Linked DNA regions of Sus scrofa. The protein of the gene in region 3 purifies or fractionates together with the protein of the main gene of each other region. This does not show direct contact. Links are inferred from orthologs where the notes say so. Each region holds a gene or a part of one and is shown on either strand. Other genes may lie near its edges. The genes, in order: TRIM25, SNW1, DDX5, CDK9, HNRNPA1, SRPK1 and EZH2.

Region 1 (3,500 bases), about 19 Mb from region 3:
GAAGGAGGAGGTGGAACTTGCCCTGACTAAGGGGGACGAGTTTGAGTTTCTGGAGGTGGGTTGTAGGCGGACCTTGTTGAACCCTCTTTCTGCTTGGCGTGATGGTGTGGACTAGGCGGTGTGGCGGGAGACCCTCCAGGACTTGGGGCTGTGGGAGGTCACGGGAAACATCCCTGGGATACATACTGTATTAGTTTTCAACATTTCTTTTTTTTCGTCTTTTGTCTTTTTAGGGCCGCACCCACAGCATAGGGAGGTTCCCAGGCTAGGGGTCGAATCGGAGCTGTAGCCCCCAGCCTACACCAGAGCCACAGCACTGTGGGATCTGAGCCGCGTCTGCGACCTACACCACAGCTCACGGCAACACTGGATCCTTAACCCCCGGAGCAAGGCCAGGGATCGAACCCGCAACCTCATGGTTCCTAGTCAGATTTGTTAACCACTGAGCTACGACAGGAACTCCAGTTTTCAACATTTCATGACAACTTCCCACACATTGAGTGGCTCAGAAGAACGTCTGTCTGTTACCTCACACTTTCCATGGCTCAGGGTCATGGCTTAGGTCTCACCAGGCTACATTCTTTATGGAGCTCAGGGTTGTCTTCCAAGCTCACAAGCTTGTTGGCAGAATCCAGTCTCTTGTGGTGCAGGACCAGGGTCCCTGTGTCCCTGCTGGCAGTCAGCCAGGTCCCCTTAAAGTTCCTATAGACTGCCTTGATTCCTTGCCCCATGACCCTCTCTCAGCTTGGCAGCTTACTTCAAAACCAGCAGAAAGGAGTTCCCTGGTGGCTCAGTGGGTTAAGGACCTGGCATTGTCACTACTGTGGCTCGGGTTGCTGCTGCTGTGTGGGTTTAACCCCTGGCCTGGGAACTTCCAACTACTAGGGGCACTGCCAAAAAAAAAAGAATTTCTCCCTCCAGCCCAGTCCCTCTTTTAAGGACTTTTACCTGATTAAGCGAGGCCCACCCAGGAGAATCATCTTTCTGATTAACTCAAAGATTCAGGATCTTAGTAATATCTGTAGCTTTTTCTTTTTTTTTTTTTTCTTTCTTTTTTTTTTTTTTTTTTTTTTTTTTGCCTTTAGAGCTGCCCAGGCTAGGGGTCAAATTGGAGCTGCAGCTGCTGGCCTATGGCCACAGTCACAGCAACACGGGATCCAAGCTGCGTCTGTGACTTAACACCACAGCTCATGGCAACACCGGATCCATAACCCACTGAGCGAGACCAAGGATCGAACTTTTTTTTTTATTATTATTATTACTCAGTGAATTTATTACATTTGTAGTTGTACAATGAATATCACATCCAATTTTATAGGATTTCAGGATCGAACTCAAAGTGGTACTTTAACCTCCAGCGACTTCTGGCTCTAATTTGAGAGACCGATGGGACTTAGAACCTGTGGCAAAGGGAAACTCCTCTGGGGCTCTCATATGAAGCCTGAGTCCTGGCCCCAGCTTCCCCAAAGTGGCCTGGACTAACCCCCTGGCTTGTTGCAGAAAGCAGCAAAACTACAAGGAATCACCACGAAGCCTGTCTACGTCCCCAAGGTGGAGCTGAACCATGAGCTGATAAAGGGCGTCTGTCAGGGCACCTCCGACCTCAAAAATGAGCTGAAGCGGTACCTCAGACAGTCCCAGGACAAGAAGCCCGAGGAGCCCACTGCCCCAGGTAGCCATCGGCAACCTCCCGGGCTCTCTCCCAGCACCCCAGAAATGGGGAGGGGTCCCTTTGGCGTCTTGGGGTGGGAGAGAGGCTCTTGATCTGAAGAACTGGGGCTTGAGTTTCAGGGGTTACAGGACAGTTGTCCTCCATCTAGGAGAGTCCTCCATCTAGGGAGTCTTGGCCTCATCCTGAGATTGTAGCCATCCTTCCTAAAACCTTTTTGGAGGCTGGATGTTGTGATGGGACTTTCTAGATGGGCTCTTTCTGTCTGAGTCATGTAACGGAACCAAACTTGGGTCTGCTTACCCGAGTGCGTTCAGGCCAAGTGACGAACACGGGGTCGTGATGATGGAAAGTGCGGTGTGTGTTGCAAGATACCAAACACGGAGTCTGGCTAGACTGGTAGCTAGTGCTTAAAAGGCCCCCCACTCCCCAAAGGCTTTCAGGGAAAGGTTTTTAAGAACAAAGTGAGGGAGTGGGGTTGTGGGCTGTGTGATTAGCTCGTGGACATCGTTTTGATTGGTGGGTGGTGAGATAAACATCAACCTTTTGGTTCCTGCCTGTCTGGGGTTTACGTGTTTGTGGGCAGCACACAGTTAACTTCCTCCTTCCAGTGGGGGTTTCAGTATCTGCAAAACAGCTCAAGGATCAGGCTCAGATTATTGTCTGTAGCCCTTGAGGAGGAGCTAAATGTCCTTGACTTTGTTTAATGACTAAACTCTTTTTTTTTTTTTTGGTCTATTTTGTCTTTTTTTTTTAGGGCCACACCCACGGCATATGGAGATTCCCAGTCTAGGGGTCCAATCAGAGCTACAGCTGCCAGCCTACACCACAGCCACAGCAATGCGGGTTCTGAGCTGCATCTGCAACCTACACCACAGCTCACAGCAACGCCAGATCCTTAACCCACTGAGTGAGGCAGGGATCGAACCTGCAACCTTATGGTTCCTCGTCGGATTCGTTTCCGCTGTGCCACGACAGGAACTCCTAAACTCTTATTGTTTTGTCTTGCTTGACTGTTTGCCTTTCTTTCTGCATTGTCTCACTTCTATGATTAAATTTACTCTTTGAGGGAAGGCCTAGGAGGTTAAAGGTTTTCTACAGAAGAGAGACCGGTGGAGAGTGCCTGTTTGGGTGGGGAGAAGGGTCTCTTTTGGGAAGAAGGACCCCATGGGGTCCTGCTCCATTACAGTCTGAGGTTGGCTCAGATGGGTTTTGAATGGATTCTGGGTTGTGGGGTGATTTGGTAGGGAAATGGCTAATTTGGGGGTCAGAGAAACATGGAATTCTTCCCCTACTCTTCCGCTTATATCCACCCATTATCAGATTTGGCTTCTAAAATATATCCTGATGGAAGTTCCCATTGTGGCTCAGTGGAAATGAATCCGACTAGTATCCACGAAGATGCAAGTTCAATCCCCGGCCTCACTCAGTCGGTTAAGGATCTGGTGTTGCTGTGAGCTGTGATTAGGTCGCAGACTGACCGGATCTGTGTAGGCCAGCAGCTACACCTCGGATTTGACCCCTAGCCTGGGAACATCCATACACTGCAGGTGCAGCCCTTAAAAAGCAAAAATAAAATAAAGCCCCAGTCCACACTGGCCTGCTGTCCATTGCAGCACCTGCGGTAGCTTCTTAACGAGCCCCTTCTGCGTCCACCCCTGTTGCAGGTGGAGAGAGCTTTTCAGGATACAAATCTGATCTCTCAGGACCTTCTCCTCTACCTCCTCTTCAGAGAACTTCCATTGCTTTTAGATTATGGACCCGACTCCTTGACCCCAGCTTTCAAGCCCCTGCCTGGTCAGGCCCTGTCTATCTGTCCAGCCCCGAAGTA
Region 2 (3,500 bases), on a different chromosome or scaffold from region 3:
CTCCAGTGGCTCAGGTCACTGTTCTGACACAGGTTCAGTCTGGTGGCCCAGGACCTTGCACATGCTCTGAATGTGGCAAAAAAAAAAAGAAAAAACACTGTGAATGCTTCTTGAGGGGAGCAAATGTTCTTGGAAGAAAGCATTTTGTTCTAGTTTTCAAAGTAAAAGCTATGATTTTCTGGCAAGCTTAATGATTACCTAATGCAACAACTACAGTCCTGAAGTGCTTATTTTAGTTGAAGAACTCTAGCAAATCTGAGCATGTGTCAGAATGATGGCCCAGAGTACAGATAGCACCTTTCTTGGGAACGTTTTAACTATTTTCTGCCTAATTTACAAGAAAATGTCTCCTTTAGCTTTATTGTTTAGTTAAAAAAAAAGGCAAACCTTTCTCTAGCAAGTAAGCATTTTGTACCTAGAAAGTCATATATCCAGGGTCTGATGGAATATTTCTTGAAGAAAGAGGTAATATAAAAGTGGCTATTTTCATAATTTTTTTCATCAAACCCCTGCCAAATGATTGATATTAATATATTTTTCCTGTCGTATTTCAGTTTAGCAGAAAATTCAGAGATTTTTTTTGAAGTCAAATGATCTGGGTCAGGGAGTTCCCTGGCGGTCTAGTGACTCAGACTCGATGCTTTCACTGCTGGGGGGGAAAAAAAAAGATCTGGGTTCAAGTCCTGCATAACTACCATAAAACCTGGGAAAAATATCATTTTTAACTTAGTTTATCTAAAGTTGAATTTTTTCCATAGGAAATATGAGGCTTTTAAGAATTATAAGACAATATGTGTGGATTATATTTTGTACATTATAATAAGGTACTAAGCAAATATTAAATCTAACAAAAGTATTTAATGTTTGGTATTCATGTATTAATTTGATGACATACTTTTTTGTATTATTAAACTTCATCAACAGACTTTACTTAGCTTGTTTTACTTTAGAAATCTTTTTTTTTTTTTTTTTGTCTTTTTGCCATTTCTAGGGCTGCTCCCGTGGCACATGGAGGTTCCCAGGCTAGGGGTCTAATGGGAGCTGTAACTGCCGGCCTACACCAGAGCCACAGCAAGGCAGGATCTGAGCCATGTCTGCGACGTGTACCACGGCTCACAGCAACACCAGACCCTTAACCCACTGAGCAAAGCCAGGGATCGAACCCGTAACCTACTGGTTCCTAGTCAGATTTGTTAACCACTGAGCCATGACAGGAACTCCTTACTTTAGAAGTCTTAATTCTCTCTTCTAAACCATTGTATATAATCATCATTAGAAATGTGGTGAACTCATTTCCTATTTATCCGCTTCTCATGGAACACTGAATAAATAGTACATTATTAAAATCTGAAGAAGAAATATAATTCTTTACATTTCTGCTCTAACTATAGCTTGACTTCTATAGTGAGTTCTTCACAAAGAAAATTATGTATGCTAAAACAAAATCTTTTTCTTATGCTAAACAATTTGCCTAATTTCTTCCTGCCATGTACATAAAATCCATATCCTTGCCGTGGTTTAGGATCCCTTTCCTGATCTGGTGTTTGTCTGCTCATGCAGCTGTATCACCTATGTGTCTGCTCCTCTGCCCTCAGTAAGCTACAGCCCCACTGGACATTCTTCCTAGAACATGCCAACCTCATTCTTTTTTTTTTTTTGGGGGGGGGTTTGTCTTTTGTCTTTGTTGTTGTTGTTGCTGTTGCTATTTCTTGGGCCGCTCCCGCAGCATATGGAGGTTCCCAGGCTAGGGGTTGAATCGGAGCTGTAGCCACCGGGGCCTACGCCAGAGCCACAGCAACGCGGGATCCGAGCCGCGTCTGCAACCTACACCACAGCTCACGGCAACAACGCCGGATCGTCAACCCACTGAGCGAGGTCAGGGATCGAACCTGCAACCTCATGGTTCCTAGTCGGATTCATTAACCACTGCGCCACGACGGGAACTCCAACCTCATTCTTGCAGCAGAACCTTCTCACTTGCTGTTTGAATCTGCCTAGTAAATGCTTCCCGCAGATCCTCCCATGACTGATTTCTCATCATTCAGGCTTCAGTTCATGTTACCTCTTCACAAAGACTATCTCAACCACACTATTGAAAATAGCCCCTCTTCCTAGTCCCTTTCTTGCTTTCAAGGTGTTTATTACAAGCCAAAAATTATGCTTTTTATGTTTTTTCCTACGGAAATGTACACTCCACAAGATCAGGAACTTCTGTTTTGTTTACTGCTGTATCTCTAGCGTCTAGCATAATAAGGGCTAATAATTATTTGTTGAATGAATGAGTATATGTTGAATCTCAAATTACTATTAAATATTCTTTTTTGGCCACATCCACGGCATGTGGACATTCCTTGGCCAGGGATCAAACCCAAACCATAGCAGTAACACCACCAGATCCTTAACCCTCTATGCCACCAGGGACCTCTTCAAATTATTATTAAATAAATTCTTATTTCTTTTTAACATATAGGATTTTGGAGATGGAGGTGCTTTCCCAGAGATCCATGTGGCCCAGTATCCTCTGGATATGGGACGAAAGAAAAAAATGTCAAATGCACTGGCCATTCAGGTGGATGCTGAAGGAAAAATTAAGTATGATGCAATTGCTCGACAAGGACAGTCAAAAGACAAGGTAACCCTCTTACTAATTTTTTTTTCTCCATTGATAAATACTGTACGAGGAGTTTTTTTAATTGTGTGAAAATGATAAATCTCTGGTCATTTAGTTTATGTTAAAAATAACAGTGAAGCATACTTAGGCTAATTAAAAGTGACTTCATAATAGCAATGACTTTTTCCTTCGAAATTCCCCAAATTGATAATAGCTTATATATACTTAGGGTTTGTATGTATTTGTTTTACATTTTTAAAATAATTCTTTTTTTCTTCCAGTTTTATTGAGATATAATTGATGTACAGCACTGTATATTAAAAACAATTCTTTTCTAGTACTAACTTTTTTAAATGCTAGCAAATTTTTAAAATCCTAGCACCCTAAAAATGTCAAAATTTAGTTTTGTCTATAGTTTCTTCTGTTTCTCTTCCATGGACTCATAAAGTACATAGATGCTTAATTATTTTAATGGTTCGTTTGAATATAATCATACAAACTTCTTTCTCACTTAAGCACAAAACTAACACATGCTGGTTTTAGCATGGGCCTGCTTACAAAGTAATCCAAAGACCAAAAATAAAGTTTTACTTAAAATTATCTCATCACAGGGCAGCCACACTCAGAGCAAAGGAACTCTGCTTTAAGATCGAGTTTTTTTCTTATAAATAAATACTCCAAATAGAGGTTTAAAAAAAAATCTTTTTAGAATTGAAGATATTGGGGAAAGTACTTAATCATCAGAACCTGTCCTTTGTCTCTTCTCTTTCTCTGAAACATTTTCATTTTACCCTCTAAGACAGCAGTAATGATAAACCATCCTTTGCTCCTATGTCATGGCTGTTGAGCTTTGGGGGGAAACAATTAGGCAGTCATACAAATTTATATC
Region 3 (2,755 bases):
GCCTACAGATCCATTTAAATGGGATTGGCGGGTGAGTAAAACCTTCAGTGCAGAGTGAAGTTGAGAAAATACTTCTCAAGAGTAGAGCTACCAATTCCTTTATGTTGTGATTTGTGCCATAGAAATAATCGATTTGCAATTTCTTTCTTGACAGGTCGTTCCAGGGGTAGAGGAGGCCTGAAGGATGACCGTCGGGACAGATACTCTGCGGGCAAAAGGGGTGGATTTAATACATTTAGAGACAGGGAAAATTATGACCGAGGTTACTCTAGTTTGCTTAAGAGAGATTTTGGAGCAAAAACTCAGAATGGTGTTTACAGTGCTGCAAATTACACCAATGGGAGCTTTGGAAGTAATTTTGTGTCTGCTGGTATACAGACCAGTTTTAGGACTGGTAATCCAACAGGGACTTACCAGAATGGTTATGATAGCACTCAGCAATATGGAAGTAATGTTCCAAATATGCACAATGGTATGAACCAACAGGCATATGCATATCCTGCTACTGCAGCTGCACCTATGATTGGTTATCCGATGCCAACAGGATATTCTCAATAAGACTTTAGAAGTATATGTAAATGTCTGTTTTTCATAATTGCTCTTTATATTGTGTGTTATCAGACAAGATAGTTATTTAAGAAACATGGGAAATGCAGAAATGACTGCAGTGCAGCAGTAATTATGGTGCACTTTTTCGCTATTTAAGTTGGATATTTCTCTACATTCCTGAAACAATTTTTAGGTTTTTTTTGTACTAGAAAATGCAGGCAGTGTTTTCACAAAAGTAAATGTACAGTGATTTGAAATACAATAAATGAAGGCAATGCATGGCCTTCCAATAAAAAATATTTGAAGACTGAAATAAGTGGAAATGGTACTTTATTTTACATATATAATGTCATGTAAAACTTGGCTTAGAAGGTGTGTTTTGTTTTTTTTTTTTTTAATCGTAAGAACTAAATTTACTGCTCCTTTCCATGATGTAGTTTTGGGGAGTGGGGAGATCAGAAGGCCTTTCTTACAGTTATCTATTCCTATAGCAAAAGATTAAAATTAGATTGATTTAGGTTAACAATTCTAGACTAAATTGTAAAGGCTTTGCCAGTACCCTCCAACATCAGGTGAGTCATTTAATAATGGTTTATTTGTTGGCAGAATGGTAAAATGAGGTACTGCAACATAGGAAATAATGTAACTATATAGCCCTACCCTCTGGCAGTTTAGTGTGAGAATGTGGATGATTTTGTTCATACTGCAAAATTTATAATTCAAAAATCTCCAAATACCTTTTTTTTTAAGAGACTATATATTTGTGCTGATAGCTATATTAGAAATAACAAATACTGAACAAAGCTGAAAGGCTATACCTTTTAGGGTGGTTGGCCAAAAAGTAAGTTTGAATTTGTTTGTTTTCAGTAGTCTTGGTGCTGACTGCTGTCAGGTAGTAATAGAGATGCTAGTCTTCACAGGTTTCCTGGGACTCCTAACTGAGTAGTGAATGTCCAGTAATTCAGGGAACTTTAGAGGACTTCAAACTGTAAGGTCTGTTCATGTTTAAATAAACATACACCAAAAAATCCTCAAGATTTAATTAATGGTTAACCTAGAGGAAGCCACATAACCAAAAAGCACAGTGACTGTAATCCAGGTCCTTTCGTGAGGGTCATCATGGGTTTATTGCTAGAAAGATTCAGCAGGTAGTTTTAGATTTAACTTTGGCTCACCAACCTTTCTAACACTTAATTTCAGTGATGGCTAGAAGTAGGCCTGAATGTCTTCCCAGAGAGTCTGGCACTTAGGTTTTTTTGCAAGGAGAGGAGAGGTCTTCCTTGAGATTTCATTTAAATCCTGATGATTAAAGTGAGACTTTAATTGGTGTTAATGCCTTATCTCTAAAGTGTAAAATGGGAATTTTCCTGGGGCAGGGTAAGGAGTGGCATTTTTAGGACTAATACATTGAAAACTGATTCAGCCTCTAGTAATTGAACAGTTTTCAATAGCATGATTAGTCAAATTCATTATGACTTTTAACTTATAAGAAGCTTTTGGGATAGGTTGGAGTATTTATTACATATTTTACTGTTTAATGTCTAACGTGGGCCTTTTAATTTGTAAACATTTACTGAAATGACTGTGGGACTGTGGAAAACATTTACCTATTTACCTTTGAAGTTTTAAAAGACAGTCCACTTTTTAGCATGTGTGTTGTGTCCAGCCTGTGGTTGTCTTAACCTAATAAATGTGATTTTTCTCCCTGTTCTCTCTTTTATTTATTTGCGTATAGGCCTCTTCCCTGGTGTGTTTTCCTGGGTGTGGAAAACACCTTGTTACCCAGCTCCACAGTTAATTACTATAATTGCTTTGGGGCAATATTGTTTCTAGTTTGTTTTTTTAATATGAAAAACTTCATACACATTCTTGTATGGAATGATTTCCTGAACCTGTCCTTCGCCTTGCTCATGATGAAGAATTTTGACTGTTGCGTGTTTACTCAATTGCTAAGCTGCTGTACGTAGTGGAATACAGTAGTCTCTTTCACCTGGGTTAACCTTTCAAGGTTAAGGAAAGCTGGAAATAGAAATTACGGGGTCTGGAATCAGCTATTTTCCTCTAGCTGACTTGTACCACATCTCCACTATTGGCAGTTTTCCTAAGGTCTGTAAAAATGAAAAGTCATCAAGCTGGCCAGGTACTCCTGCCACTCTGTTTTAAGAAGGTTTTTTATGAGTTTGTCTCATGTTTTGTTTTAGAAGAG
Region 4 (4,042 bases), on a different chromosome or scaffold from region 3:
TTCAGGATTCCGCAGGAATGCCCAGCACTTGCTGAACACACAAGGGTTGTCGAATAAATGCTGGCTACTTTTGTGACTACCGACCCAGGCACGACCATCTTGGGCACAGCTCAGCTGGGACGGGGGTCCTGGGCCTCATCCCTGCCTCCCAGAGAATAGGGGGCCCGGGAGTTGCTCGCTTGCCGCCTCCAATGTCGCCGCGCCCCCTGGCGGCCATCGGTTGCCATATCAACGGCGGCCGGCGGGGGCCCGGAGAGGCGGGCGGTGGGGGCCGTTCTCTCCTCTCTGGACCCGAGGCTGCTTCCTCGGCGCCTCCCTCCTTTGCCTGTAGGGGGGCACCCGGAGCTGGGAAGGAAGGGGTTCCCTGAAGCTGCTGGCATGTGTGGGTAAACTGAGGCACGCGGCGAGTCGCCCAGCAGCCAGGTGTGGAGCGCGGGGCCCCACCTCCGAAGGCGGAGGAGGGGCCGCGGGCGGTGACGCGCCGAGGGCGGCGGGCGGACAGCGGGCGGGCGGGCGGCAGTGGCGGCGGCGGCGGCGGCGGCGGCAGCGGCGGCAGGTGCGGCCGCGAAGGGTGGGAGGGAGGAGGGAGGGGGCGGGCGGAGGGGGAGGGGAGGGCGAGGCCGGGGCACCTCCCCCTTTATAACGCGCCCCCTCCCGGGCTCTCGGGCCGCCTCCTCGTCGGCTCTTTCCGTCTGGCCCCCTCGTCCGGCCGCCCCGGGCCCGGGCCCGGCCAGGGAGCCCCCAGGCCGAGGCTTGGGGGGCGCCCCCCTCCCGCCGCCCCGCGCAGCCTGGCGGAGGCGGCGCCGTCGGAGGAGGAGGAGCAGGGCACTGCGGCTGGCCCCGGATCGGGCGCCAGAGCGGCAGCGGCTTCGGCAGCAGCGGCGGCCCGAGCCGATGCAGCGGGACGCACCACCCCGAGCCCCAGCCCCGGCGCCCCGGCTCCCCGCGCCCCCGATCGGGGCCGCCGCCAGCACTGGCGGCGGCGGAGGCGGGGGCAGCGGCGGTGGCGGAGGCGCCTCTGCAGCTCCGGCTCCTCCTGGCCTCCCGGGAACTACAAGTCCCAGGGGGCCTGGCGGCGGACGGCGGACGGAAGAGGCGGGGTCGGCGCCGCGGGGCCGGAAGTGGCCGTGGAGGCGGAAGTGGCGCGGCCGCGGAGGGGCCTGGAGCACGGCGGCGGGACCCGGAGCGGGAGCGGCGGCGGCAGCGGCGGCTGGAGGTGGCGGCGGCGCACTGGAGGCGGCCATGGCAAAGCAGTACGACTCGGTGGAGTGCCCCTTTTGTGATGAGGTGACCAAATATGAGAAGCTCGCTAAAATCGGCCAAGGCACCTTCGGGTAAGGCTGGGCCCCCAGGGACCAGGAGCCCTGAGCCTGCACCCCTCTGGACCGATGTCGAGACGCCCAGGCCCGTGTCCAGTTGGTTGGGAAGCCACCTAGCCGCAAACTTGTCCCCTGGTCTCGCTAGGCCGCACCGCAGCCCGCCCGTGCCTGACCGAGCCGGCTGGCGGGGAGGAGCCTGAGGCCCTTGATGGGAGGCAGGGAGGGGTTGCAGAGAGGAGCCTGTGAGTGGAGCGGGATCTCTCCCAGCAGCGGCGCCTGGGTGAGGAGAAAGGGCAAAGGGAAGGAAATAGAGGCTCGGAGAGGGACCGAAGATACCGCGCGTTGGTGTAGCCGAGGGCCCTCTGTACCCGGCCCAGCCCCGCCCGGGATTCCCTTTCCTGCCCTCCTCTGGTGGGGGCGGGGCGGGCCCTGCGGAAACGGCCTCAAGAGTCCTCTTGGGTCCCCCTTTCGGCCTGCAGGGAGGTGTTTAAGGCAAAGCACCGCAAGACCGGCCAAAAGGTGGCTCTGAAGAAGGTACTGATGGAGAACGAGAAGGAGGGGGTGAGTACGGGGCGGGTGGGCAGGCCTGCTAGGTCCCTTGGGCAGAGGTTGGGTTTCCACCCTGCTTCTGGGACTTTCATGCTGAGGTTGAATTTATGTGTTTAGGAATTTCTGTGTTCTATGGAATCTGACTTTCAGGTTAAATCTTTTAATTCAAATGTTTTAAAGAGTTTGATGTTTCATTCTCAGGTGCACGTGGTTGGTGCCAGGAGGGGGAGCTCATGCTTGCACTGAGTGCACCCTGGTTCCTGAAGTTAGGAAGTTTTTAAACACTTTTCCTTTGGGCTTTACTTTTGTCGAATGTTTAAAAAAAAAAATCATATGTCATAGCCCTAAAAGAGTAACTGGTATTCAATTGAAATGCTCCCCCCCCCATCGTAGCTCTAGTCCAGTTTCCCAAAGACCTGCTTCTTTATTTTTTGTCTTGTTAACCATGTAACAGGTTAAACACGGGTGCAGAGCTCTACATTATGAGTTTAAAGAAACCGTGCAGCATTTAATGGCTAGTCATAAAGCATTTGTGTGAAGTAGCAAAACTTCAAGTCATCGTCTGAAACCAGCTCCCGAAGGGGTACTTTCTACTAGTATGCCCGTGTTCTAAATATGGCATCTGAGGCAGCTCATTTCAGAGCCCACGATTTGACTCTGTCTCCCAACCTTCGACCCTTACTGTGGATCCCATGGCCAGTTCCTGGGTCAGTAGTGTGCTCTCCCGCTCTTGACCTCCTTGTCTTTCTCTCACCCAGTTCCCCATCACGGCCTTGCGGGAAATCAAGATCCTCCAGCTCCTAAAACACGAGAACGTGGTCAACCTGATTGAGATCTGTCGAACCAAAGGTAAGCTGTTTGGATCTTGCCCTCCGTTTTCAGGTGGGGAGAATGAGGCTTCTCGCCTCAGGTTTTGCTGGCGGAGCTGGAACCGGACCCACTTCACTGCCTCTTCTTAACCCAGACACACCACCTGCAACTGCTTTCCCGGGTCCTTTTGTGGGAGCAGGTGCTTCCCCAGGGCCTGCCACAGCGCCCGGCCCAGAGAAGCACTCAGAAAATATTTTACCCGTGCAGGAATGGGCAGCCACATACCCACTGTCCATAGGTTGGAGGGGGTAGGAGCTGGTTGTGGGAAGATGAGTTGCGTGTGAGGTTTTTGATTTTTTTTTTTTTTTCCCACCCCTCTCTTTCTCCCTCGTGCTTCCTGACTCAGCTTCCCCCTATAACCGCTGCAAAGGCAGCATATACCTGGTGTTTGACTTCTGTGAACATGACCTCGCCGGGCTGCTGAGCAACGTCTTAGTCAAGTTCACGCTGTCGGAGATCAAGCGGGTCATGCAGATGTTGCTCAATGGCCTCTACTACATCCACAGGAACAAGGTGGGGGCCGGGGTCGGGGGTCGGGGGGAGACCCAGGCTGGCCTGGGCTCTCCGTGCGGGGTGGGTGCGGCTCAGGGCCCCTGGCTACCCCCGCCCGTGTGCTTCCCGCAGATCCTGCACCGGGACATGAAGGCGGCCAACGTGCTCATCACCCGCGACGGGGTGCTGAAGCTGGCCGACTTCGGGCTGGCCCGGGCCTTCAGCCTTGCCAAGAACAGCCAGCCCAACCGCTACACCAACCGTGTGGTGACGCTCTGGTACCGGCCCCCGGAGCTGTTGCTCGGTGAGGACGCTTGAGCAGGCCTAGGAGGGGCAGGAGGCTGGGCCCTTAGCCAGCCTCCGCTCCCCCCTGCCTGGGCTTCTTGAGCTGCCGGCCCTGGGGCCCCGCGCCTCCGGAGGCCGGGCTCAAGGGGCCCTCCTGGTGTGCTCTTCTCAGGGGAGCGGGACTACGGCCCCCCCATCGACCTGTGGGGTGCCGGGTGCATCATGGCGGAGATGTGGACACGCAGCCCCATCATGCAGGGCAACACGGAGCAGCACCAGCTTGCCCTCATCAGCCAGCTCTGTGGCTCCATCACCCCTGAGGTGCGTCGCCAGGCTGTCTGGGCCCCGCAGGCTGCAGAGATCCAGACCTCTCCTTGGTAGAGGAGGGGCAGGGCGGGGAGCAGAGGGAGAGGTGGCTGGCGGAGGGTCACAATCTGCTCTTTGGGGCCACATGGACTGTGTTCACCGGCTCCATCACCGGTTAGGTCAATGCTTTTGGGCGAGGCTTCTGAACCTTTCAGAGCTGA
Region 5 (4,193 bases), on a different chromosome or scaffold from region 3:
GGCACGGAGGCCCACAGGTTTTGTTAAAGTCATTGTGAATAAAATAGCCCCTACGCGCCATCACAGGCATTGAATCCCCTTCCTCGCATCCCCAAATCTAAGACCTCCCTCTTTTGGAGCGCTGATTGGACGAACAGCCTGAGCGCTTTCCAGAGGCTGCTCGCCTACTGGCTCCCGATTTGGTCCATCCACCTAACCGCCCAACTCCCGCATCCCCCATTGGAGTCAAATCGTGGCCTCTTGGAGGAGCCCAACCTACCGCGCGCTTCGTGCTCATTGGCTCAGTGAGATGCTGCTCAGGAGGAGAAAGCCCGCCTCCCACATACCGATGGCCCAAGGACCGATGAGTCGGCAGCTAAGGACAGCCCCAATTGGCCTATACACTCGCCAGTCAAACTCTTCCGCTGCAAAGCTCCACAGAACCTACGGGGATAAAACATCCCGCCCCCGTTCTTCCATTGGTTGGCCGATCTCACCGCTCCCCCTTCACGAGCCCCCACCCCGAGGTCCATTCATTTCACACAATAACGGGCCCAGTTGGAGTCAGTTCAAGACCTCGTATGGGTAGGCAAGATGGTCCGCCACTTACCGGGGGTCGAGACCGATCACTCACGCTAACGCCTCGCCTGTTCCTCTGTGGTGCGGCCGGACCACAAGCCACCGCCGCCGCCGCCTTCTGCGCAACGCCAACCGCCCGCCAAAACGGATCCTTCCCTGCGCCTGCGCGACCAATCCTGGGACCCGACCCTTTCCCCGCCCATTACGCCTGCGCAAAAGGGGGCACAACTCCCGCCACTACGCAGGCGCCTTAGGTTCGCCGCTGTCTCCTGCCCGCCATTTCACGTGTTGCAAGCTCCGGGCGGAACTTCTTAGCGCGCCTGCGTAAACTCGCCATTTTACTACACATGCGCTCAGCAGGCGATCTTGCCCCCGCCCCCGTTCCGCCAAATTGTCACATGCTAGCTACTTTTTTGATACATAGTATTAAAAATGCTTTGACACAGGCGTTGAATATTCCGGACATAGCTAATTAAAAAGTTATCTCAATACCCGAAATAATTCAAATATGAATCATTGGTTGACCAGCCAATCAGTCTAGTTAAGAATAATATTACTTAGGAACCAATGGACCGGGAGGGGTTGAGACTGCGTAGAACGCCCAAACGGATGACGTTACACAGCAACGCATACGAGAGACCAATAGTGGGGGAAAGCTATGTCAAATATCCAATCAGAGCTACTCAGGGGCGGAGTCTACCAATGCCGAACGCGAGGAGGCGGGATAAAAAAGCGAGGCCGAAGGTAGGCTGGCAGACTCGTTCGTTAGATTACTCCTTTCTGCCCCCGGACGCCGCCGAGTAAGCATCGTTGTAACCTCCTCCCCACTACCGTCATGTCTAAGTCAGAGGTGAGTGAGACTCTTTTTTCATCTGCGTTTTCTTCTTCGCCGCTTGCTGAGTTTGGTAGGGTGCAGTCTGGTTTGGCTGCTTGCACCAGCCTTTTCGGCAGTTCTTCGGTCGCTGCCGGGGCCTACCCCTCCCTGAGTTCAGGTCGCCATTTTGTCCTCGTCGCCATGAGGCTGTCGTCGTGCAATCCTTGGTTATCACGCTGCTCTCGTTCTTTTTTGCAATGCTCGTGGACACATTCGGTCTGTTTTTCATCCTTGTCCTAGTGGACGACTTTCTTAAAGAGTAGCTGTAGTCCAATTTTGGCGATGCACGCCCTCCCAGTCCTTTTGTTGCGCGTGCGTCGTAGGGAGAGTAAGGGGCGCATGCGCTCGCCGCTTCCCAGCCCCCAACATACCGCCTCCCCAGATGGGGAGAAGCACGTGGCTTACAGCGACCCGAGGGAACAATAAAAGCTTCGTACGTTGCTACCTGGTGTTGCTTCTTGTAGCGGGGAGCTTGTTTGCGTTATAGCCCTATTTAACGCTTTTTTTGCCCCTACTTCTAGTCTCCCAAAGAGCCCGAACAGCTGCGGAAGCTCTTCATCGGAGGTTTGAGCTTTGAAACAACCGATGAGAGTCTGAGGAGCCATTTTGAGCAATGGGGAACGCTCACAGACTGTGTGGTAAGACTTGGAAGAGACAAAAGGCCTTAGAGCTAGTTGTTTTTCTTGGCTTATCTCGCTGTCGTTGCTGTTTGAATGCTTATGAAGATTCCTATTGACTTTATAGCTTACTTGACAAAGGAAGGTGTGGCTTCATAGCTGAAAAGCTCCCAATTGTTAGGTTTAAGGGGTGGGGGCGGTGGTCATTGAAGAGCTTCGTTTAGAGGGTTGGTAGAAAGTTTTCCATTGCCTTAGTCAAGGTAGAAAAGGCTGTAACTTCTGGTGTCTTACCATGTGCTAAATAAACATTAAAGGTAATGAGGGACCCAAACACCAAGCGCTCCAGAGGTTTCGGGTTTGTCACGTATGCCACTGTGGAGGAGGTGGATGCAGCCATGAATGCAAGGCCGCACAAGGTGGATGGAAGAGTTGTGGAACCAAAGAGGGCCGTCTCAAGAGAAGTAAGTGATGTTTTTCTTGTGTTTCATCGACTGGAAATGTTCGATTAGCAGGATTCACTCACATTAAGGGGATGTAACAGACTTAGTATTAACATGGTCTTAGGATTGTTACTATTTTCTCCCCCTTTAGGATTCTCAAAGACCTGGTGCCCACTTAACTGTGAAAAAGATTTTTGTTGGTGGCATTAAAGAAGACACTGAAGAACATCACCTAAGAGATTATTTTGAACAGTATGGGAAAATCGAAGTGATTGAAATCATGACGGACAGGGGCAGTGGCAAAAAGAGAGGTTTTGCTTTTGTAACTTTTGATGACCATGACTCCGTAGACAAGATTGTCAGTAAGTAGCAGGTGGTTGGCATTCGCTAAGAGTTCTGAAATCCATTTGTGTCCTAAACTCTGAGATGGTGTCTTACTTTCAAATTTTTCAGTTCAGAAATACCACACTGTGAATGGCCACAACTGTGAAGTGAGGAAAGCCCTATCCAAGCAAGAGATGGCTAGTGCTTCATCCAGCCAAAGAGGTGAGTTTGTTGCTTAATTAAACCTTAAGCATCATTTTGAATGATTTTAACCGGTACAATTTAACGTTAACATTTTTTTCTTCAGGTCGAAGTGGTTCTGGAAACTTTGGTGGTGGTCGTGGAGGTGGTTTTGGTGGAAATGACAACTTTGGTCGTGGGGGAAACTTTAGTGGTCGAGGTATGTATGGTTTTTTATTATTTTAACGCTTCTTAGAATTTAGGCTTAGAAGGGTGTGATTTGTATGCGATCCACATACTTCAAACCTGGCTTTTAAATTCTGTTCCAGGTGGCTTTGGTGGCAGTCGTGGTGGTGGTGGATATGGTGGCAGTGGGGATGGCTATAATGGATTTGGTAATGACGGTAAGTTTTTTTGTTTTTACTGTTAAAATTTTGTGTGTGCGTGTGTGGGTTTTTTTAGTTCGTTTTGTTGTTGGATTTTTTTGTTTTTTAAGAAACTACAGGTAAAAAGTTTGACTACTTTTAGAATAGGCTAGTAGATACTAAAACTTTAGTGCATGATAAGTTCAAGTTTGACTCTTACAGCATGTTGTGAGCCGGCCTTTAGCCATCATGCTTGCACAGAATTTGAATGTTGAATACTTGTGTCTTATTGAGAAGAATTGTATTCTTGTAGGTGGTTATGGAGGAGGCGGCCCTGGTTACTCTGGAGGAAGCAGAGGCTATGGAAGTGGTGGACAGGGTTATGGAAACCAGGGCAGTGGCTATGGCGGGAGTGGCAGCTATGACAGCTATAACAACGGAGGAGGCGGAGGCGGCTTTGGCGGTGGTAGTGGTAGGTATCCAGTGATCCAAGTACTTGGTGCAAATAGCTAGCTTAGCCATATGGGAACTTGATGCTCTCTAGGCATAATGTGTTTTACTGCATGGTACTTTCTTTTAATGGGCTTGCAATGCTACCTCCTCCTAGCTTTAAGCTGGGGCCGCCTCACTCCCAAATAGATTAAGGGGGATAGTGGTGCCTACAGTTAATCGGGATTAGGTTAGCTTTTATTTAGGCACTTAGTTGATGTATCCAGCATGTGTTTGCGGTGCCCCTGGATGGGTAACAACAGCCTTCGAGGCTAGAGACTATACTACTTGCTCTACCATGGTGAGTCAGGGGTAAATTTCTAGCTACTGGATTATTCAACTGAAT
Region 6 (4,035 bases), on a different chromosome or scaffold from region 3:
GCGGCTCAGATCCTGCGTTGCTGTGGCTCTGGCATAGGCTGGTGGCTACAGCTCCTGTTTGACCCCTAGCCTGGGAACCTCCATATGCCGCGGGAGCGGCTCAAGAAATGCAAAAAAAAAAAAAAAAAAAAAAGATCAACAGAAGAATAGTTGATGATTCATGAAAATTACATGAAATTCAAATTTCAAGGATAATAAATAAGGTATTCGGAGAACACTGACAGCTTCTGAGTTCCACTTGCAGAGCTGAATTGCTAAGAAACTTTACGACCCACAAGCTTTAATATTTACTATATGGCCCCTTACAGAAAAACTTTGTTAATACTACTTTACAACAAGGATTTGATAATTCAATCAATGCTTCAGGACACCAAAATTCTGAGTACATATCGCCTCCAAGTTTTTGTTTCTACAGTGGAAGTAATAACTATCTTGCCTTTAAGCTGTCATGAACATCAAATGTATTATCAAAGATAATGCACTTAGAAAAGTATAAAAATATTCTTTAAAAAAAGACAAGTGCATTTATCTGTGGAAAGATGATGAAGTGCTAAATTAAGAAAACACTATAAGTTTTTATTCTCCCGCTTCCTTTAATACCTTCATTTAAACCTGAAATTTTAAAAGAAAACTCACTTTTCGACTTTTTTTTTTTTGATACGATAACATCACAGGTTCCTTCCAGTCTTTTTTTGTGTGTTGCTCCCACTTCCTTTTCTTTCTCCCATTTTTTTTCCCGTCTTTTCTAGGGCCACACCCACGGCATATGGAGGTTCCCAGGCTAGGGATAGGAACTGTAGCCGCCAGCCTACGCCACAGCCACAGCAACGCCAGATCCCAGCCGCATCTGCGACCTACACCACAGTTCAGGGCAACGCCGGATCCTTAACCCACTGAGCAAGGTCATGGATCTAACCGAAAGCTCATGGTTCCTAGGCGGATTCCTTAACCACTGAGCCACCTCGGGAACTCCAAAAAAATTTTTTTAATAAATTTTATTGGTGTATAGGCGACTTACAATGCTGTGTTAGTTTCAGGTGTACAGCAAAGTGAATCAGCCATACATGTACATATACACCCATTTTCTTAATATAGTATCTCATTTGGCCCTCAGAAGAACTCTCTGGACTAACTAGGACACACCTGGGACTATTCCATTTTACAGACCAGGAAACGGAGGCAGTTTACAGTTGGCTGCGGAGCTCTGACTCAGCACGCAGGGAACCCTCAATGGCCACGCTCTTCGCCATTCCTCAGAAGCAACCGCTCGAAAATAGAACAAAGCTGATCTTCCCAAGCTTCCAAGTTTGGTTCTCAAACACCCCGGGAACATTCACCCGAGGCGTTCTTTCCTCCCCTTCCTCCCCTATTCTCTACGCCCCCCCCCCCGTCTCGGGAGCAGGTGGTAGGCTCCGCGCTCAACGCGCAGGCGCGCGCCGTCGTGGGCGGGGGCGGGGCGGGAACTGGGGGGCGGGGTGTGCGCGGGCTTGGTTTGGGGCCGCGGCGGGAGCGGGAGTCACCGCCACTCCAGTGCGCAGGCGCCTGGCGGTTACCGGTCTCGCCATGGAGCGGAAAGGTGAGCGGTGGAGCGGCCTCCGCCACGAGGGGCAGCGGCCGCCGGGGCGAGGCCCGGGTCAACGCCGGGAATTTGGCCTAACCGCCGCCGTCCGGTCCCCGGGTGTGCGGCGGTCCTCCGCCGAGGTGGCGCCGCCCCGCAACCCCCGCCTTTGGGCTGCGGGTCCGCGCCCCTCAGCCCGGGCGTCCTTCCGCGCCGGCAGGCATCGCCCCTTGTTCCTTGCCCCGCCGGCCCACGCCTCGCGGCCACTCCAGGGCCCGGCCCTCGGCGACCGAGGCCGACCCCCGCCAGCCAGCCCCTTGACACGGCCCGAGCCCCCTCGGGCGCGCCTCGCCTGGACGCTTCTCTGCGCGGGGTGGGCCCCCAGCCCCCTGAGCGGCCGCCCGGCCGACTTCGCGGCACTCGCCCCGGAGCTGATCCTCAGGCAGGCCCCGCATCCGGGCCTCGAGCCCCAGCTGGGTCTCCACCCTTACCTTGGCCGCCTCCTTTCCTCCCCACTCGCCCTTCATCCATCCCTCTCTCCTGCAGTGCTTGCGCTCCAGGCCCGAAAGAAAAGGACCAAGGCCAAGAAGGACAAAGCCCAAAGGAAGTGAGTCTCGAACCCCAACGTCCCATTCTTTGGGTCCCCCCCCCTCCGGCACCTCTTCTCCTCCGGTTTCACGCCTTGAACATGCAGCGGGTGTGGGGACCCTGCGGCCCCAGCCACATGGCCTCGAGGCGGCTGAAGGAGGGTCGCCCCCCCCCCCAACCATGTGGAACGGAGCTTCTGTTGCTGAAGGCCAGGTCTGGGTCTGAGCAGCCCCACGCCTGCAGGAAAGGGCTTTTGGGGGAGGACCAGAGCCCGACCTGTCCATTTACCTTCCCAACGCCAGAGAGGAGGCCCAAGATCCCCGAATTTGGGCCTCCCCACGGAGGTGGTAGATCATTATCAGCTTGTGAACTCTGCTCCCTTTTCCACACCTGCTTCCCAGCGTCTTCACTTGCCTGCTACATCTGAGGTTAGGCAGTCAGGGAATTCGTGAATGAATGTTCCGTAATTTGGTCTGCTTTTTATAGGAGAGGGCATGGAGCTTCCCCTCGGGTCAGGCAACTTGCTGAGCCTGCCAGGCGCATCGCTTTCCTTGCCGAGTGCAGGCAGACCACTGGGTCTCTTCTTCCTGAACCTCAAGTCCTCGCCCTGAATGCACATACCTTCTGTAGTGGGCATCACAGAGGTGCCAGGGAGGTTCTTTAGTCAGCGCTGTTGGTGATTACGGTTTGGTGTATGTCCGTTTTTATCAGCAGGATGCATAATCGTGGTTTAGTGCTATTGTGGGAAACACAAAAGTTGGCCAGAGCTTCTTAGAAACGCCCAGTAGAGGGCTTCTGCAATTCTTCTTAGTCTGAAGAACTTTTATGTTGTACTCACGTTTAATTGCAGAGGGTTTTGGAAATTGTCTTCTAGAAAAATATGCATTTTTTTCCTGATAGCTTTTCATTCCATTTATTTGGATTTACATGGAGTACACCATCTAAGTCTTTCTGAGCAATAAAATTTATTTCACAGGCTTTCCTGGATTTCCTTTCTGAATGGCAATGCCAAATGGGTGTGTGTGTGTGTGTGTGTGTGTTGTGTGTGTGTGTGTGTGTGTGTGTTGTTTTTGGTGGCTACCTAATGTTTCCAGAGAGCAAAAATGACATAAATAGAGCTAAACTGGTAGGTGACCTCACCTCTTGCTTCATTTCTATGCAGTGTCTTATTAAACTTACTTTGTAAAGTGCTTGGTAACTTTAATGCATTTAAATGTGAGTTTATCTATATATGTTTGTGTACTTATTTGCTTCTTGATTATCCAGGTATGGATGATTCAAAAACCAGTTTTTACTCTCAGATTGGTTTAATGAAACAGCGAGGAGCTAACCTCATTCTTCTATGCATTGGAATTTAAATGTTACTCTGTGCATGTGTGTGCACCCCACTGGCAGGGCATGTGGTTACCTTCTTCCCTGTGGAGTTGATATGAATGTGTTATAAAACAATAGGTTTACTGCTGATGTAAGGAGCTGGTGATTTTTATTGTTCACTGTATCATTTAGAATTCATCTGTCTGATCTCTCTCCAGAGGAAATAAATATGTATGGGTGATCATATACTTTATTTTTAACACCAGATATTTATTACTTTGGATTATCTATTTAGACCATATACTTTATTTCTAAAGCTGAATATATGTCCTTTGGATTATCTGTTATTCCTCCATTTCACTACTGCGGATAACTAAGAGTTACTTGTGTTCTTAATTATTTATGTACTTGCGCAAAAGCGAGTGAATAGTATAGTTAATTAGCAGTTATTTTACTGAATATTTCATTTTGTACAACTTTGACTCCTTGAGTCATCCCCATTTACTTGTAGTTTCAGAAGTGCTTTTTTTCTTCAATTAATAGTGTTTCTTGATCATTTTACCTTTTGTTTGTTT
Region 7 (4,065 bases), on a different chromosome or scaffold from region 3:
TTAGATCCCTGGCCTTGTTGAGCTGTGGAGTAGGTCGCAGATACGGCTTGGAGCCTGAGTTGCTGTGGCTGTGGTGTAGGCCGGATTCCACCCCTGGCCTGGGAAACTCCATACGCCTCGGATGAGGCCCTAAAAAGAAAAAAAAGAAAATTCAGAATAACCTTACCTTCACTGTCAGATAAATTAAAAGGGGAAACTGCATCCTAAACAGAATATTTCTAATTCTTATGGGTTGATACAGGCTCACCCGCAGATCATTTTTTTTTTTAACACTTGAAAGATGCTGCAATCATCCCAATTTTTTCCAGAGGCGTTAGCTCGAGGCAAGTGAACCCCACTCACCCCTGATAAATGATTAACGTTGACACGTGTTTGGAACTACAAACGCTGGAAGGTGCCGAACAAGGCGCTCAGAATGAGGAAACTGAAATAACAGTAGGGCTGCTGTTTCCCAGGTTTCTAAGGAGATGGGCACTGCGGCCTCGACCAACCAAAGTCCAGCGGGCCAGGGGATCTGAGTCGGGCCAAGCCACTGAGGGGCTTAGCAGAAAAAGTAGCTGGCAGAGCGCTCTGCTCGCACCGGAGGCGGCGCGCCAGTCCGACCAGACCGCGAAAGGCTCGGGGCTCCTCGCCCGAAACGAACCAGATTGGAGCCCGGACCGCAGAGCGTAACTGGCCGGCAATCGGGGTACCTCGCGCGCGTCCGCCGGCCGGCCTGCGCTTCGGCTCCGCGCGCGGGGAAAAGAGCGCGGCAGTTGAAACCGTTACCACCCCCGAGTTTTGAACTGGTTCAAACTTGGCTATCGGCCCCGCCCCGCCCCTCCGGCCCGGGAACTCTGAGGCTGCCGGCGGTTCCCGCCAAGCGCCGCGAGCGCGCCGTCCCGCCCCCTGGTCGGTTCCCGCCATCCTGCCCTGGCCGCCTCCCGCCCGCGGCCCGGGATTCGGGCTGCAGAGGCCCCATCGTCCCAGCCAGCCGACCCACCGCCTTCCTGAGAGGCGCCGTGCGTTCGGCGAAAGAACAAAGAGACGGCGCAGCGCTTCCACTCGGCGGCCGCGTCCCTCAGCGCCCGCCCGCTCGCGCGCACGCGCCGCCGGCCCGGCCCGGCTGAGTCCCGCGGGCTCCTCTGCGTGGGGCTGGCTCGCCGCCACGGAGCCCGGCGGGCCTTGTGATTGGACGGGAGCCCGCCTCGCGGCCCGCCAATCGGGGCGGCGCTTAGTTGGACAGGGGGGGCCAAATAAAAGCGATGGCGATTGGGCTGCCGGGTTTGGCGCTTGGTCCGGGAGCGTCCGACACCCACTGGGACGCAGAAGGCGGTGGAAGCCCGGCGGCGGTGGTGGCGCGCGGGAGCGGCGCGCGGGAGCGGAGCGGGCTGGGGCGCGGGGCTCAGGTAGCGTGCCGCTGTCGGGCCGGCCGGCCAGCGGGGCTCCGAAGCTCGGTGAGGGGCGGCGGCGGCGCCGGGATATCCCCGCCACCCCTCCGGGTATCGCCCAGAGCGGGCTTTCCCGGGGCGCCGCTTTGGCTGGAGGGGTGAGAGGAGACCCCTCGGAAGGGGCCGTGGCTTTGGGCTGGCCCGCGCGACCGCGGGGGCGGGCAGCGCCGCACCTGGCGACCTAAGGCGGGACCCCGGGCGGGCGCCCTGGGGGGCGAGCCGAGGGGTCTTCTCGCGCGCCCGCCCTTCGGGAGGCGCGGCGGCTGGGCTGGGGGCGCTCCGGTGCTCGGGGCGGGCCGGCCGCCCGAGCCCCTGTCTCCTTTGTGTGGAGCGTCGCGGCGGGAGCGCCCGGGTGGGACGGGACGCACACAAGTTGGTGGGACCTCGGCACCGAGTGCACACTCAGACAAAGGACGGACTGTGTCTCGGGGGAGCTCGGCGCGGGGAAGGGGCAGTGACACCCGGGCCTGACAGCGGGCGGGAGAGGGGCGTGGGGAGCGCGGGCCGCGGCGCAGGGGGCGGGCTGGGCCCCACGCCCCCTCCCCGCGAGCGCGCAGGCTCGGCCGGGGCCGAGGGGGCCGGGGCGGCGCTGGGAACCGAACTCGGAGCGGCTGCGGGTCTGACATTTCCCCGGAAAGCACCCCCGAACCCCTCGTCTCCACCCGCTCTGACGAGGCGGTCCCGGCCGCCTTTACCCCCTCGGCTGGCTTTCTGTTAAGTTTGAGGAAGGGTCGAGCCGTTCTCCCCCCGCTCGGTTTTGTTCGTTTCGGAGGGCTTTTCGTCGAGTTTCCGCGTCATTGTCCACCCCCCCAAAAAAAGTCGGTGCCATCAGGTCCCTTTTTGAAAATTGGAGGAATCGAGAAGCATGATATTTTGAAATGAAAACTTGGTGAACTCACGCCTGCTGAGTTCCCGCTTTCTAAAGAATCATATTTTTTTTAAAAAATTACATGCTCTTTCGGCCAACTTATGTGATACATCTGAGACTGGCGACAGGTGCTAACGAAATCAACTGTCATTTAGTAAGAGATTATTCTCCAAATCCCCAGGGATTGAATGAGGATGCGATGGTAGAAAGAATTGATCAAGCAAAATGTTTATGACAAATGTGTGTTTAGGTGGTCTGGTTAGCAATTCGTCATTAATTGGTCTTGTTTTCCGTGAACAATAGCTTTGTTGAGTCAGAAAAGACTGACTACAGAAATGTTTGTTGCCTAAGAAATTGAACGTGTGCTGTCCACAGTTAAGCTAAACTTCCTTTGTTTGTCACACAGGATCTGTAAAATTTAAGTCATTTGGAAACAAAGATATGTCTTTGGTATTTAAAAATATTTTACTTCAAGGTTTACTTTCTGGGTTTTAAAGGTCATTTATCGGATTAATTTTGTGGCTTTTTAATGTCACATAAAACACCATTTAAGAAAATCTTTAAAAAACACTAATGCTGATACAGTTGAATGTAGGCTATACTTCTAAGGGATTTTAAGAGCGTGTGGGATCCTAACCATTAGACCACCAGGGAGCTAGGGGGTTTGGAGTTTATTTTCCACTACTCTTCATTCATCACCGTTAGCAACTATTTTATGTTTGGAAATAAAATGTAGAACAAGTGTGTAATCCTAACAAGTTTATTGATAATTTTATTTCAAGAAAATGAAAGTATTTATGACCTATTTTAATTTCCTTTTCATATTACCTAAAGTTAGGAGTAGGTAGGGTTCTAGTCCTGGATGTAAAGAATCCTTTCTCTCTTTGTGGTGGTGTATTTGGGAATTTAATGCTTAAGTTCTTGAAAACACTTAGGAAAATGGCATCTTAAATTCTAGTCTTTGTGGCAGGGGAATATCTTCAAAGAAGAGGAATTTAGGAACATAGCACCGATTTGCATTGTTCTATCTGATGATCTAATGTTCACCCTACCATCTTACGGTTTCATAAATATGGAGACAAAGAAATGCAGTGTAAAAGTCTTTATTACATATTTTGCAGTGTTAGACACCGCTGAACAGACATTCCAGGTGCTGTCCTAAGTATTGTTTACTGTATTAGTTGCTAGTAATTATCTATTAAAAAGTCCTCCTGATAATCTGGCCTCTTGTTATAAGATGAGCTAGTTAGGGAGATTTTGGTAGATATTTGGATCTTTTAGGATAAGAAATTGCAGTTTTTCCTTACTTGTTTGTGTACACTATATTTGGCAATTACTGTCTTTGTAGTTGCCACAAGATTTATTTTTAAGTTTTTTTGGGGGAATTGGTTTTTAATTTTTTATTTGATTTGAAAATGTATTTAAGTAGCAGTGATTAAAAAAACCACACTTGTTGATTTAGTGAAGTTAGGCACACAAAAAAGCTGTAATACTTTGATATCAGCTTTGCCTTGCACACATACATATAGGTGATTGTCTTTGTGTTGGCCACTTAAAATTTTTAGGCAGATTTCCCCAGGTTACACTGAGGCTTTCTAGGATATCTTCCATCCTTTGAGCTGGCATGCTTAAGGAGAACGAATTAGTTTCCATCTTGGCCTAAAAAGCGGTAATTAAGAAAGTTGATTTTTTAAAAAATCAACAGCAATAAAAAAATCCTCTGATCTCATGCATTCTGGGGTTAATTAGAAATGACCAGTGGATTTG

Evidence for each region.
Region 1: the proteins of DDX5 (region 3) and TRIM25 purify together in Homo sapiens (affinity purification with western blotting; 3 studies listed by BioGRID, with this or other methods). This does not show direct contact. The link is inferred for Sus scrofa from reciprocal best matches to the Homo sapiens genes DDX5 and TRIM25.
Region 2: the proteins of DDX5 (region 3) and SNW1 fractionate together in Homo sapiens (co-fractionation; 3 studies listed by BioGRID and IntAct, with this or other methods). This does not show direct contact. The link is inferred for Sus scrofa from reciprocal best matches to the Homo sapiens genes DDX5 and SNW1.
Region 4: the proteins of DDX5 (region 3) and CDK9 purify together in Homo sapiens (affinity purification with western blotting; 3 studies listed by BioGRID, with this or other methods). This does not show direct contact. The link is inferred for Sus scrofa from reciprocal best matches to the Homo sapiens genes DDX5 and CDK9.
Region 5: the proteins of DDX5 (region 3) and HNRNPA1 purify together in Homo sapiens (affinity purification with mass spectrometry; 4 studies listed by BioGRID and IntAct, with this or other methods). This does not show direct contact. The link is inferred for Sus scrofa from reciprocal best matches to the Homo sapiens genes DDX5 and HNRNPA1.
Region 6: the proteins of DDX5 (region 3) and SRPK1 purify together in Homo sapiens (affinity purification with mass spectrometry; 3 studies listed by BioGRID and IntAct, with this or other methods). This does not show direct contact. The link is inferred for Sus scrofa from reciprocal best matches to the Homo sapiens genes DDX5 and SRPK1.
Region 7: the proteins of DDX5 (region 3) and EZH2 purify together in Homo sapiens (affinity purification with mass spectrometry; 4 studies listed by BioGRID, with this or other methods). This does not show direct contact. The link is inferred for Sus scrofa from reciprocal best matches to the Homo sapiens genes DDX5 and EZH2.

Annotation. Positions count from the first base shown.
Region 1 is NC_010454.4:33,198,941-33,202,440, reverse strand, and holds part of TRIM25 (E3 ubiquitin/ISG15 ligase TRIM25), read left to right. Parts: coding exon 1-55; intron 56-1,500; coding exon 1,501-1,672; intron 1,673-3,500.
Region 2 is NC_010449.5:100,739,415-100,742,914, reverse strand, and holds part of SNW1 (SNW domain-containing protein 1), read left to right. Parts: intron 1-2,470; coding exon 2,471-2,632; intron 2,633-3,500. UniProt on the Homo sapiens protein: Involved in pre-mRNA splicing as component of the spliceosome. As a component of the minor spliceosome, involved in the splicing of U12-type introns in pre-mRNAs.
Region 3 is NC_010454.4:14,578,486-14,581,240, forward strand, and holds the end of DDX5 (probable ATP-dependent RNA helicase DDX5), read left to right. Parts: intron 1-154; coding exon 155-558; 3' UTR 559-2,255; downstream 2,256-2,755. UniProt on the Homo sapiens protein: Involved in the alternative regulation of pre-mRNA splicing; its RNA helicase activity is necessary for increasing tau exon 10 inclusion and occurs in a RBM4-dependent manner. Binds to the tau pre-mRNA in the stem-loop region downstream of exon 10.
Region 4 is NC_010443.5:268,275,841-268,279,882, forward strand, and holds the start of CDK9 (cyclin-dependent kinase 9), read left to right. Parts: upstream 1-1,242; coding exon 1,243-1,334; intron 1,335-1,798; coding exon 1,799-1,880; intron 1,881-2,626; coding exon 2,627-2,717; intron 2,718-3,084; coding exon 3,085-3,251; intron 3,252-3,362; coding exon 3,363-3,534; intron 3,535-3,687; coding exon 3,688-3,836; intron 3,837-4,042. UniProt on the Homo sapiens protein: Protein kinase involved in the regulation of transcription.
Region 5 is NC_010447.5:19,483,784-19,487,976, forward strand, and holds the start of HNRNPA1 (heterogeneous nuclear ribonucleoprotein A1), read left to right. Parts: upstream 1-1,393; coding exon 1,394-1,408; intron 1,409-1,953; coding exon 1,954-2,070; intron 2,071-2,363; coding exon 2,364-2,510; intron 2,511-2,640; coding exon 2,641-2,851; intron 2,852-2,942; coding exon 2,943-3,035; intron 3,036-3,120; coding exon 3,121-3,213; intron 3,214-3,322; coding exon 3,323-3,397; intron 3,398-3,671; coding exon of another isoform or gene 3,672-3,830; intron 3,831-4,193. UniProt on the Homo sapiens protein: Involved in the packaging of pre-mRNA into hnRNP particles, transport of poly(A) mRNA from the nucleus to the cytoplasm and modulation of splice site selection.
Region 6 is NC_010449.5:31,698,506-31,702,540, reverse strand, and holds the start of SRPK1 (SRSF protein kinase 1), read left to right. Parts: upstream 1-1,235; 5' UTR 1,236-1,563; coding exon 1,564-1,576; coding exon of another isoform or gene 1,577-2,104; coding exon 2,105-2,165; intron 2,166-4,035. UniProt on the Homo sapiens protein: Serine/arginine-rich protein-specific kinase which specifically phosphorylates its substrates at serine residues located in regions rich in arginine/serine dipeptides, known as RS domains and is involved in the phosphorylation of SR splicing factors and the regulation of splicing.
Region 7 is NC_010451.4:109,383,751-109,387,815, forward strand, and holds the start of EZH2 (histone-lysine N-methyltransferase EZH2), read left to right. Parts: upstream 1-1,265; 5' UTR 1,266-1,388; intron 1,389-1,412; exon of another isoform or gene 1,413-1,436; intron 1,437-4,065. UniProt on the Homo sapiens protein: Polycomb group (PcG) protein. Catalytic subunit of the PRC2/EED-EZH2 complex, which methylates 'Lys-9' (H3K9me) and 'Lys-27' (H3K27me) of histone H3, leading to transcriptional repression of the affected target gene.